Saccharomyces cerevisiae S288C: one gene and its partner. The protein of the gene in region 1 interacts with the protein of each later gene in a biochemical or structural test. Each region holds a gene or a part of one and is shown in the gene's direction. Other genes may lie near its edges. The genes, in order: ATG2 and ATG1.

Region 1 (7,428 bases):
TGGGAAAGAAAATATGAGTCTTTAGCCAAGCTATACTCCCAGTTGCGTCAAGAGCATCTAAATCTTTTACCTCGTTTTAAAAAACTGCAGTTAAAGGTGAATAGTGCGCAGGAATCCATTCAGAAAAAGGAACAGTTAGAACACAAATTGAAGCAAAAGGATTTGCAAATGGCCGAGTTGGTTAAGGACCGTGACAGGGCAAGGTTAGAATTAGAAAGATCCATTAATAATGCAGAGGCGGACAGTGCAGCGGCGACAGCAGCAGCAGAAACAATGACTCAGGATAAAATGAACCCTATTCTGGATGCCATATTGGAAAGCGGTATCAACACCATCCAGGAATCGGTCTATAATCTCGATTCTCCTTTGAGTTGGTCGGGTCCGCTGACTCCACCCACTTTCCTTTTGTCCTTATTGGAAAGTACTTCTGAAAACGCCACTGAGTTTGCCACCAGTTTCAATAATTTGATAGTAGACGGCCTTGCACACGGCGACCAAACAGAGGTCATACACTGCGTTAGTGATTTCAGTACTTCGATGGCTACACTGGTGACCAATTCAAAGGCGTACGCCGTTACTACATTACCTCAAGAACAGTCTGATCAAATTTTGACCCTGGTGAAGAGATGTGCCAGAGAGGCCCAATATTTCTTCGAGGATTTGATGTCTGAAAATCTTAACCAGGTCGGTGATGAGGAGAAAACTGATATCGTCATCAATGCCAACGTGGACATGCAAGAGAAGTTGCAAGAGCTATCTTTGGCTATCGAACCGTTATTGAACATACAATCTGTCAAATCAAATAAAGAAACGAACCCACATTCTGAATTGGTTGCCACTGCTGACAAAATTGTCAAATCCTCAGAACACTTACGTGTTGACGTTCCTAAACCATTGTTGTCATTGGCATTAATGATTATTGATGCTGTTGTGGCTTTGGTAAAGGCTGCTATTCAGTGCCAAAATGAAATTGCCACCACGACAAGTATTCCTCTGAACCAATTCTACTTGAAAAACAGCAGATGGACAGAAGGTTTGATCTCCGCGGCAAAGGCTGTGGCAGGTGCAACCAATGTTTTAATCACTACTGCTAGTAAGTTAATCACTTCTGAAGACAATGAAAACACATCACCTGAACAATTTATCGTCGCCTCCAAAGAAGTGGCCGCATCCACAATACAATTGGTAGCAGCATCGAGAGTGAAAACTTCCATCCACTCGAAGGCCCAAGATAAATTGGAACACTGTTCCAAAGATGTTACCGATGCATGCAGAAGTTTGGGTAACCACGTCATGGGTATGATTGAAGATGATCATTCGACTTCGCAACAGCAGCAACCATTGGACTTCACATCCGAACACACATTGAAGACTGCCGAAATGGAACAGCAAGTGGAAATTTTGAAGTTAGAACAATCCTTGAGCAATGCCAGGAAGAGATTGGGCGAGATAAGAAGGCATGCCTACTATAACCAGGATGATGATTGATCATGAATTGTACTTTTTATATATAAAGATAAACGTTAATATAAATATATTTATTTGAAGACGTCTTTTACGTTTTTCTGTATCTGATTGGTATATGCGTTCTCGTCCGGGGACATTTTTTCTTTTTTTGGTGCGGCGAATGGAAATAATCGCGATAATGAATATGCAAGGAACAAAGAACAGACACCCCACCCTTATTATCATATCACATCTCTGTAGGAGTCTACCATTTTGCTTCTATTGTAATCTTTGCGACTTTATTTCAACTCACCATTCATACAAAATTTCTACTGCCGTTTAAAATAAGGAAAGCATAAAGATTAAAGCAAATTAAGAGGAACCCTTTTTTTTTTTGATTTCGATACAATGGCATTTTGGTTACCTCAAAATATACAAAAGCGGCTGCTTCTTTACGTCCTTCAGCAAATTTCGCTGTTCTCCAATATAGATTTATCTAACTTGGACGTTTCTATAGGGTCTAAGTCACATTTCTCGTTCCATGATGTGAATCTGTCACTTGATGATCTCAACATTCCAAACGTGCAAATAAACGAAGGCATAGTTGACGAGCTTGTGTTAAAATTAACAGTTTCTGGCGGTGTGGAAATCGATGGGTCTGGTTTAAGATTTATCATGACACCTTTATATTCCAGTGGCTCACAGGAACTTCACTCAGATTTTTTGGTTAAAAGCATCCAAGATCTTACGAATTCGATGTTACAATTTAGTGATCCATTGACCACATATAATAGGTACAAAGAAGATGACATTAGCTCTTCAGACAGTAGTAGTGATCTCAACTCTAATATAGAAGCTTCAAAACCAGCCGCAAATGGTTCTTATACTCTTCAAAATATGCGGAACAAGGCCCTTAATGTAGCCTTAGCGAAATTGAAAATAGCATTAAAGGACGTTACCATACGTTTCATAGTGAATGATAGAGATCCTTCCGATAACATTGTGGAGGTTCATCTAGAAAGCATACAACTTATTACTACAGACGCAAATTTACGACATATAAACATTGAAAATATCACCATTTCCTCAATACAAAAACAAGCTGTACCCGACTCTCCTGTGCATCCTTTCAATAATGACGATCTGTCACAAAGCGTTTATTTATCAAAAATGGAGGCTACTTCACTTTATATGAGCGCCATGGAAGAGCAATCAAATGAAGACCCCAGTGAACCCCAAGTTACACAAGAAGAACAAGAGAATGATAAGTGCAAGGAATCTTTAATGGAAATAAATAATTTGAACATAGCTTTTAAGGGTTTATCATCGGTCAATGATCTCAGAATGTCTAATATTGTTATTGATATTCAGGATGTTCATTTAGCGATACACAAAATTGTCGAAATCAAAAACTCCACTTTGAAGAATATTATAGATATCATTGTTACACATTTGGATGCCAATGAAAGCTTTTCTTGCCAGGATTCCCAAAGTCCTTCACCTGACAAGCAGGAACCATCAGCTCTTTCTTCTGTTGATATCAAATGTATATACTTAAACTTAGGCCAAGATATCACAGTAATTTTGAAGAGCTTTAAATTAGAGCAAAAGGAAAATAATTCATTGGCATTTTCTTTAGGCTCATTTTATTCTAATTCGAGTCCATTGACAATTAGCCATAAAACTAAGCCATTGCTCACTGGAGAACAAACCCCTCAAAGCATCGCATTAAATATGGGCGACGAACTAGATATTATTATCAGTCATGATGGCATTGCGCATTTCTTTAAAATCTTTCAGTTTGTTTCAAAATGTATGTCCTTTTATCAGAATAAGTCAAAAGGGATGATGCCTCAAATAGCATCGGATACTAAAAGGACCGTACAACTTACCTCAAAAGCAGTGAAGTTGTCGCTTAAGTTTCCATATTTTTTATTATGTTTCCAGGTTTCACCCTTCATTTACGACTCTAACCGTGAGTTGTACATTGAGCTTGTAGACGTATTTAAAAAACTACCTTCTCGGTGCACGAAAATATTGACAATGTCGAGCATTACGATCTCGAACTTGCAATCCCCTCTACAACTGGGTTCATATGACGATACTTTGAAAGAAGCGCTAATTTATAGTTCTGTCCATGCAATCATCAAAGAAGTGATATTTAACGAAGAATATTCTGGAATAGTACAATTAGTCGAAGATATTTCTGCGTTTGGAAAACTTTTCACGGATTCAAAGAACAGTGAATGTACAGGAAAGTCTAAAAGCAAGAGAGGCTCCTTTTTGCAGAGAAGTGTCAGAGTACTTAATTCTTCCAGGTTCGTTTACAAGCAGAGTTTATCCGCTAATTTTTCTCTCAAGATAGATTCCATGAAGTTAAAAGTATCAGAAATTATAGGGCCGCAATTTGGTTCTGTGGAAGCATTACTATCAAATAATTTCTTTGCGATTACGGATGACTCTCAAATTGTATATTTTACAAAGAACTTAAAGGTAGAAAGAAAGACACCGTCATTATTAGAGCCACAAGAAATCATGTCAGTAGTTTTGAATAAAGCAGTTAACGAACCTGTACTATATGTTCATAGAAGGGCGAATGGAAAGTTAAAAGTCATTTTTAACAACATTCGCATACATTACTATGCAAGGTGGTTAGAAATACTAAAGAAAAACATCGGCCCGGATAATGCCAGTTCAAAAGATGAACCTGTTTCACAAAAGCTTAGTAAAAAACAACCGACTTCAGGATTTCCCTGGGAACTCAAATGTCTGGACTGCTCTCTAATTCTGCACCCTTTCAGATTAAAAAGTGTAATGGTCATTGTACTTGACAATCTAACAACTGGTGGAAGTTCATTTATTCCGCAGGCAAAGCTTCTTTCAAAGGCGAATACACTCTTCCTAATAGATGACTATCAGAATTTCAAAATTCAAAAAGATAAGAACTGGCCTAGTTTGATAAATTTTTATGCTGGTCAAGGTTTCTCTGCAATCGGTAAAATAGATACTTTGAATTTTTTAATAAACAAATCCGATGGTGCCCTTTTATTGGATTGTAAAATAGAACAAGTTGGTCTTTCATTATGCGCGGATTCTTTTCAAACTTTTTGTCAGCTTTGTATTGATTTAAAATATCCTCAGACGTTTCCTGATGAGGAAAAATTTAGAACGCAGTTGAAAAATCCTATCGATGTATTCAAAGACATCGATTGTGATCTTTTCAATTCTGCCTTCATCCGGGAGAACAATCATCAAAATGATTACGACTCAGTGCATTTGGTAGACAGTTTTCTCGACAAAACTCACGAGTTCAACAATGGTGCCAGAAGTAAACTATCCTCTCAAGGTTCATATGAAATGGACAGTTCCTCTGGAACTGCCACAGGTGGTATTTTACTTCCCCATGAGAGTTATCTAGACTCTGCTCAGCCAAAAGAAGAAGATACTCCACCAATCGCCTCAAAAGAGCAAGAAAGGGATGTGGATATAAGGGGTAGTATAGATGTCGAAAAAGTTGTTATAAAACTATTCGATGGGTATGATTGGAAATATACGCGGAAATTTATCGCTAATACTGTTGAAAAACTGGATAAAGAGCTCAGTAAAGCGGAAGCAAGCAGTTCGAAATCAAATGTACCCCAATCAGAGGCAAATATTTTTGACTCTATTTATATATCTGCTAACAAAAACAATGTCACAGATTTGAGAAGAAATCTTGATGGTGAGATCCAGGGGGTTCAGAATTCCTTCTCTGATGTCTCTAAAGTTAATTTGCGACCTTCTAAGCATTACAAAGCCCTGATTCAATTGAACAAAGTACATGTCAATTTGAAGAATTATCGAGTAGATGAACCCGATGAGTCTAACTCTGATAATTCCACAGATGTTTTGAACCGATGTGTAGTTTCCATTTACGAATTTGAAATTATCGATAATGTTCCCACGTCCACCTGGAATAAATTTGTAACTTTGCTAAAGCACGAACCGTGGCCACACAGTTCTCCGATGTTTCTTCTGGACCTGGAATTTATCCGGCCGATCGACTTTTTGCAAGCAGTGGAATTAGTCATGCAATTAAATGTTGCGCCTTTACGCCTTCACGTGGATCAAGACACTTTAGAGTTTCTAATAAGGTTCTTAGGGTTCAAAGATAAAAGATTTGAATTAATTGATGAGTATCCAGATATTGTATTTATTCAAAAATTTAGCACTAATTCAATTAAGTTAAGATTAGATTATAAGCCGAAAAAAGTTGATTATGCGGGTTTAAGATCGGGCCAAACTTCTGAATTGATGAATTTTTTTACCCTTGATGGATCCAAGATTATTTTGAAAAGCGTAGTCCTGTATGGATTAAATGGATTCGATGAATTAAATAATAAACTGAAAGCCATTTGGACGCCGGATATTACCAAAAAGCAGCTGCCTGGCGTTTTGGAAGGACTGGCTCCTGTCAGATCGTTTATGGCGATTGGGTCAGGGGTGAAGACCCTAGTCACAGTACTAATGTCAGAATACAGGCAAGAAGGGCATTTGGGAAGGAGTCTGAAAAAGGGTGGCAATGTCTTCTTGAAAACGACAACGGGAGATTTTGTGAAATTGGGAGTTAAATTAACTTCAGGGACACAGGCGATATTGGAGAACACCGAGGAACTATTCGGTGGTGTTGGTTCCAATGGCAGGGTGTACGATGCATCGAAATTTGGCTCCGCTGATGGTGCAGACAGTGATACTGCAGCTGTATTAGACTTGGATACTTTATTCGAGGAGGATCAGTTAGTTGGTAGTAAATATTCCAGGATAAGAGATCATGAGCCCACGGCAGTAGTCATCGATATGTCTTCACCGGGAGATCACAACGAACCCACAATAGTGAGTCTGTACGCAGATCAGCCCCTCGACCTGCCCACGGGTTTGAAGGAGGCGTATAGTTCATTAGAAAAGCATATGCATATTGCGTACGATGCGGTATGGAGGGCAAAGGGACAGATGAAGGATGATAAACGGGGAGGGCCGAGCGCCGCAGCAGTTTATGTTGCTAGAGCTGCACCTGTGGCAATTATTCGGCCGTTAATTGGGGCCACTGAGGCAGTGTCTAAGACTTTACAGGGAATAGCTAATCAAGTGGATAAGACGCATAACGAGCAAATCAATGATAAGTACAAGTCCAATCGGACTGATTCGTAAAAATTTTTGCAGACATTTTTGATATATATTCAATTCATATTTTATCTCTTTTTTTTTTTTTTTTTTCAGACGTGGAATGGTGGGAAAGCCAAAATGTCACTGACCGCGGCTAAAAGTTAAAAAATACATGAGACGACATTCTTTTATGTATATATATTTACACATGTATACAAACAAATACACACGCAAGTAGAGAGGAGTTGGTGGGGGGAAGATGCCATTATAGAGGAGAAAAGAACAAAGAGAGTGAGCTTGCAAGATAAAATCACTCGAAAAAAAAAATTTCAGTGACTTAGCCGATAAATGAATGTGCTTGCATTTTTCTAATTATCCTTCGTATCTTCTGGCTTAGTCACGGGCCAAGCGTAAGGGTGCTTTTCGGGCATAACATACTTGTGTTTTTGCATATATTCCTTCAATCCCTTTGGACCTCTTGATCCGTAGGGGTAAATTTCCGGTGTTGGACCGTCCGGACGCTCTATGTGCTTCAGTAATGGGGTGAATATGCCCCAACTGATATCCAATTCGTCATCTCTGACAAAGTTGGAATGGTCACCCAGTAGGGCGTCTCTTATCAACACCTCGTAAGCCTCTGGAATCCAAAAGTCTTGGTACCTGCTTGCGTAAGTTAGATTCAGATCTGTGACTTGGGTAGCATTTGACAGACCAGGGGTCTTAGCATTAAACTTTAGGTACACAGCGGCATCGGGCTGCACTCTGATGACCAGTTCGTTATTTGGAATGTCTTTGAAGACACCCGATGCGACCGCTTTGTACTGCAGTCTGATCTCCACC
Region 2 (5,075 bases), on another chromosome or scaffold:
CATTACATTAGAGACAAGTATATTTTGGGTAAATTCAGGTATGATGAAATAAAGCCTGAAGACTTTGGATCCAGAATGGATGATTTTGATGGGGAATCGGACAGGTTTGATGAAAGAAATAGAAGTAGGAGCAGGAGCAGATCTCATTCTTTCTATAAAGGGGGCCATAATAGGTCTGACTACGGCGGTTCCAGGGACTCATTCCAAAGCAGTGGAAGCAGATATTCTAGGCAACTGGCAGAACTCAAGGACATGGGTTTCGGTGATACAAACAAAAATTTAGATGCATTATCGTCCGCTCACGGAAATATCAATAGAGCAATCGATTATCTAGAAAAAAGTTCAAGTTCAAGAAATAGTGTATCGGCAGCAGCGACAACATCAACTCCGCCCCTGCCCAGGAGACGTGCGACAACAAGTGGCCCACAGCCAGCTATTTTTGATGGTACAAATGTAATCACGCCAGATTTTACTTCAAATTCAGCATCTTTTGTACAAGCAAAGCCAGCAGTTTTCGATGGTACCCTTCAACAGTATTACGATCCTGCTACCGGAATGATATATGTAGATCAGCAGCAATACGCCATGGCTATGCAACAGCAGCAACAGCAACAGCAACAGCTTGCTGTCGCACAGGCTCAGGCTCAGGCACAGGCACAGGCACAGGCTCAAGTTCAGGCTCAGGCTCAGGCTCAGGCCCAGGCTCAGGCTCAAGCACAGCAGATCCAGATGCAACAGCTTCAGATGCAGCAACAGCAACAGGCGCCATTATCTTTTCAGCAAATGTCGCAAGGAGGAAACCTGCCACAAGGTTATTTCTACACACAATAAAAATAAGATACATTGCCGCTGCTCCGCATTACATATCATATAGAGTGACACTAAGTAATTAAATGACACTAAGTAACGAAAGATATCTGTAAACAACGACTATATACCAGAATTAGTCATATTCTCTATTGTATTCACCCTACACAGCCGCATTACACAGCTGCTCCGGACGTTTTACGCTGCACATCAATGACTAATACCACTGTATTTGATCCACACTTAGCGCAAAAGTCACCTGGGTGGCGTTTTCCGCTCGCGCTCCGCCGGTGAGAGCGAGAAAAAAAAAAGGGATTGGGCGGTAATGTAAGGAAAACCCACTAGTTAAAATCAATGAGATAAGGAACTCTCTTTTTTTCCCGTTAATCATCTTTTCCTTGTTCGTTTCGTGTATCTGTAATGAATCTTATCGGAGTAACTATTACTGGAAAGCCATACCGTTAAAGAAGCAAGCATATCATTCGTATTCAAGCATCTGTTTTTCTTTTTAACCGCTCGGCTCTGATTTCTTAAACCATTTCCCCCATCAGCATCAGTTTGTGATTTGTAACTATATCGATCGTGGAATCGATGGAATTCTAAGCGTCATTTAGTTGGCAACAAAAGGAATCGAGCATCTCATAAAGGAGCTTATATTATTAATATCTTCCTGATCGTACTATTTTTTTTTAGCTTTTTATTTTTTAGGCCGAGGTTAATTCTAGAACGCCACATTTCATCACCTTTAAGTTAAGTACCAAGGCCATCTTTTACCCTTTTTAGTTTCTGGGGAAACAGAGAACAGTACTATAGAAGATAAAAAGATATAATACAATCGTAGTAATAGTACCCATAATAAAATAACATATAATATAATAAAAACATAAGGCAAAGGAGATAGGAGAATAATCATTGATATCTCCACAAAACGAATTTGAAGCTACCCCATATTTTCAAATCTCTTTTACAACACCAGACGAGAAATTAAGAAAATGGGAGACATTAAAAATAAAGATCACACAACCTCTGTGAACCATAATCTAATGGCAAGTGCAGGAAATTACACCGCTGAGAAAGAAATCGGAAAGGGTTCGTTTGCCACTGTATATAGAGGGCATCTGACATCCGACAAATCTCAGCATGTAGCCATAAAGGAAGTATCAAGGGCGAAATTAAAAAATAAGAAATTACTAGAGAATTTGGAAATAGAAATCGCTATCTTGAAGAAAATCAAGCATCCTCATATCGTCGGACTTATTGACTGTGAACGAACATCAACAGATTTTTATTTGATCATGGAGTACTGTGCTCTTGGGGACCTAACATTTCTGTTGAAAAGGCGTAAAGAATTGATGGAGAATCATCCTCTACTAAGGACCGTATTTGAAAAATACCCTCCACCGAGTGAGAACCATAACGGCCTGCATAGAGCGTTTGTCTTGAGTTATTTACAGCAGTTAGCGTCCGCTTTGAAATTTTTGAGGTCTAAAAACTTGGTTCATAGAGACATCAAGCCTCAAAACTTACTATTATCTACACCCCTAATTGGATATCATGATTCAAAAAGCTTCCATGAACTTGGATTTGTTGGGATCTACAACTTACCCATTTTAAAGATAGCAGATTTCGGGTTTGCAAGATTTTTGCCAAACACGTCATTAGCAGAAACTCTTTGTGGCTCACCATTATATATGGCACCAGAAATTTTGAATTATCAAAAATATAACGCTAAAGCAGATCTGTGGTCTGTCGGTACAGTGGTATTCGAAATGTGCTGTGGCACCCCACCGTTTAGAGCTTCCAATCATTTGGAGTTATTCAAGAAAATTAAAAGAGCAAACGATGTCATAACGTTTCCTTCATATTGCAATATTGAACCAGAGTTAAAAGAGTTGATATGTAGTTTATTGACATTTGATCCAGCCCAAAGAATAGGATTTGAGGAGTTTTTTGCTAACAAGGTAGTCAACGAAGACTTGTCTTCTTATGAATTGGAAGATGATTTACCTGAGTTAGAATCCAAATCAAAAGGTATTGTAGAAAGTAATATGTTCGTTTCTGAGTATTTATCTAAACAGCCAAAGAGTCCGAACAGTAATCTTGCAGGTCATCAATCAATGGCAGATAATCCCGCGGAGCTCAGTGATGCCCTCAAGAACAGCAATATATTAACTGCCCCAGCCGTTAAAACAGACCATACACAAGCCGTAGATAAAAAGGCTTCAAATAATAAATACCATAATAGCCTAGTTTCAGATAGAAGCTTTGAAAGAGAATATGTGGTGGTAGAGAAGAAATCGGTTGAAGTTAATTCATTGGCAGACGAGGTTGCTCAAGCAGGATTCAATCCAAATCCTATTAAGCACCCAACTTCAACTCAAAATCAGAACGTCTTATTGAATGAGCAATTCTCTCCAAACAATCAACAGTATTTTCAAAATCAAGGAGAAAATCCGAGGTTACTGAGGGCCACATCATCTTCCAGTGGAGGTAGTGATGGGTCTAGGCGACCATCTTTGGTGGATAGACGCTTGTCTATATCCTCGCTGAATCCATCTAATGCATTATCAAGAGCCCTCGGTATTGCATCAACGAGATTGTTTGGTGGTGCAAATCAACAGCAGCAACAGCAACAAATCACATCTTCCCCACCGTACAGTCAAACTTTGTTGAATTCCCAACTTTTTCATGAACTTACTGAGAATATAATATTAAGAATAGATCACCTACAGCATCCAGAGACACTGAAATTAGATAATACTAATATCGTTAGTATTTTGGAATCTCTGGCCGCAAAGGCATTTGTTGTTTACTCTTATGCAGAAGTGAAATTTTCTCAAATTGTTCCATTATCAACAACATTAAAAGGCATGGCTAACTTTGAGAACAGGCGCAGTATGGATAGTAATGCTATTGCAGAAGAACAAGACTCAGACGATGCAGAAGAAGAGGATGAAACGTTGAAAAAGTACAAGGAAGATTGCTTATCCACGAAAACTTTTGGAAAGGGTAGAACTTTATCTGCCACATCTCAGTTGAGTGCAACTTTCAATAAACTACCACGTTCGGAAATGATCCTTCTATGTAATGAGGCCATTGTCTTATATATGAAGGCATTATCCATTTTATCAAAATCTATGCAGGTAACGTCCAACTGGTGGTATGAATCTCAAGAAAAATCATGTTCTCTAAGAGTTAACGTGTTGGTACAGTGGCTAAGGGAAAAATTTAATGAATGTTTAGAAAAAGCTGATTTCCTGAGATTAAAAATTAACGACTTGAGATTCAAGCATGCTTCTGAGGTAGCTGAAAATCAAACTTTGGAAGAAAAAGGTAGTTCGGAAGAGCCAGTATATTTAGAAAAGCTATTATATGATCGTGCATTAGAAATATCTAAGATGGCCGCACATATGGAATTAAAAGGAGAAAATTTGTACAACTGTGAATTAGCTTATGCAACTTCACTTTGGATGTTAGAAACTTCTCTGGACGATGATGATTTTACGAATGCCTATGGTGACTACCCTTTTAAAACTAACATACATCTAAAAAGTAACGACGTTGAAGATAAAGAGAAGTATCATAGTGTGTTGGATGAAAATGACAGAATAATCATAAGAAAGTATATTGATAGTATTGCAAACAGGTTGAAAATATTGAGGCAGAAGATGAACCACCAAAATTAAGTGATGCATAATATGGTTTTCTTATTAAGTACAAATGACCTGCTATATTTTCAAGTATCTTCATGATTATGTTATGCTACTCTCGAAATGCTTTACGAGTTCGTCATTAAAGTATTCAAATTTTATTTTCCCTTTGTGTTTTGTTTTGTTTTTATTTCTACGTGATTTTTTTCTTGAAATCCAGCTCTTTTATACCTGGATGGGTTTTATTTTGATGTTTAAATGTTAATTAAGGAAATTATTGAATTCCTTCGGTTTCGGTGTGTTTTTTTCTTTTTAAGTTTTTTTTTGTTGCGTTTAGTACTTGCCTTTGGCTATACATATCCTTTTAATCTAATTTTTATTTCTTCAAAATTTGATTCTTTAACCTTTTGTTCTATATATATATATAAATGTATGTATGTATGATTTGATTGAGGAGGCTTTAACAAGTCATTAATATCTTTATTATTTTTACTTGTTGAGTTCATTAAAATTCATTTTATAATTTGTTGTTACAAACAGTATTTTACAAGTCATAATAAACGTTCAAAAACAAACACAATATTAAAAGAATTGGTATTAGGATCCGACATGACAATT

What was found.
Region 2: of the proteins of ATG2 (region 1) and ATG1, one has a biochemical effect on the other in vitro, tested with the Saccharomyces cerevisiae proteins (2 studies listed by BioGRID).

The regions. Positions count from the first base shown.
Region 1 is NC_001146.8:189,470-196,897, forward strand, and holds ATG2 (Atg2p), read left to right. Parts: upstream 1-1,854; coding exon 1,855-6,633; downstream 6,634-7,428. Other genes in the region: SLA2 (Sla2p), read left to right, coding at 1-1,488; ZWF1 (glucose-6-phosphate dehydrogenase), read right to left, coding at 6,957-7,428. UniProt on the Saccharomyces cerevisiae protein: Lipid transfer protein required for autophagosome completion and peroxisome degradation. Tethers the edge of the isolation membrane (IM) to the endoplasmic reticulum (ER) and mediates direct lipid transfer from ER to IM for IM expansion.
Region 2 is NC_001139.9:158,266-163,340, forward strand, and holds ATG1 (serine/threonine protein kinase ATG1), read left to right. Parts: upstream 1-1,799; coding exon 1,800-4,493; downstream 4,494-5,075. Other genes in the region: GTS1 (Gts1p), read left to right, coding at 1-831. UniProt on the Saccharomyces cerevisiae protein: Serine/threonine protein kinase involved in the cytoplasm to vacuole transport (Cvt) and found to be essential in autophagy, where it is required for the formation of autophagosomes.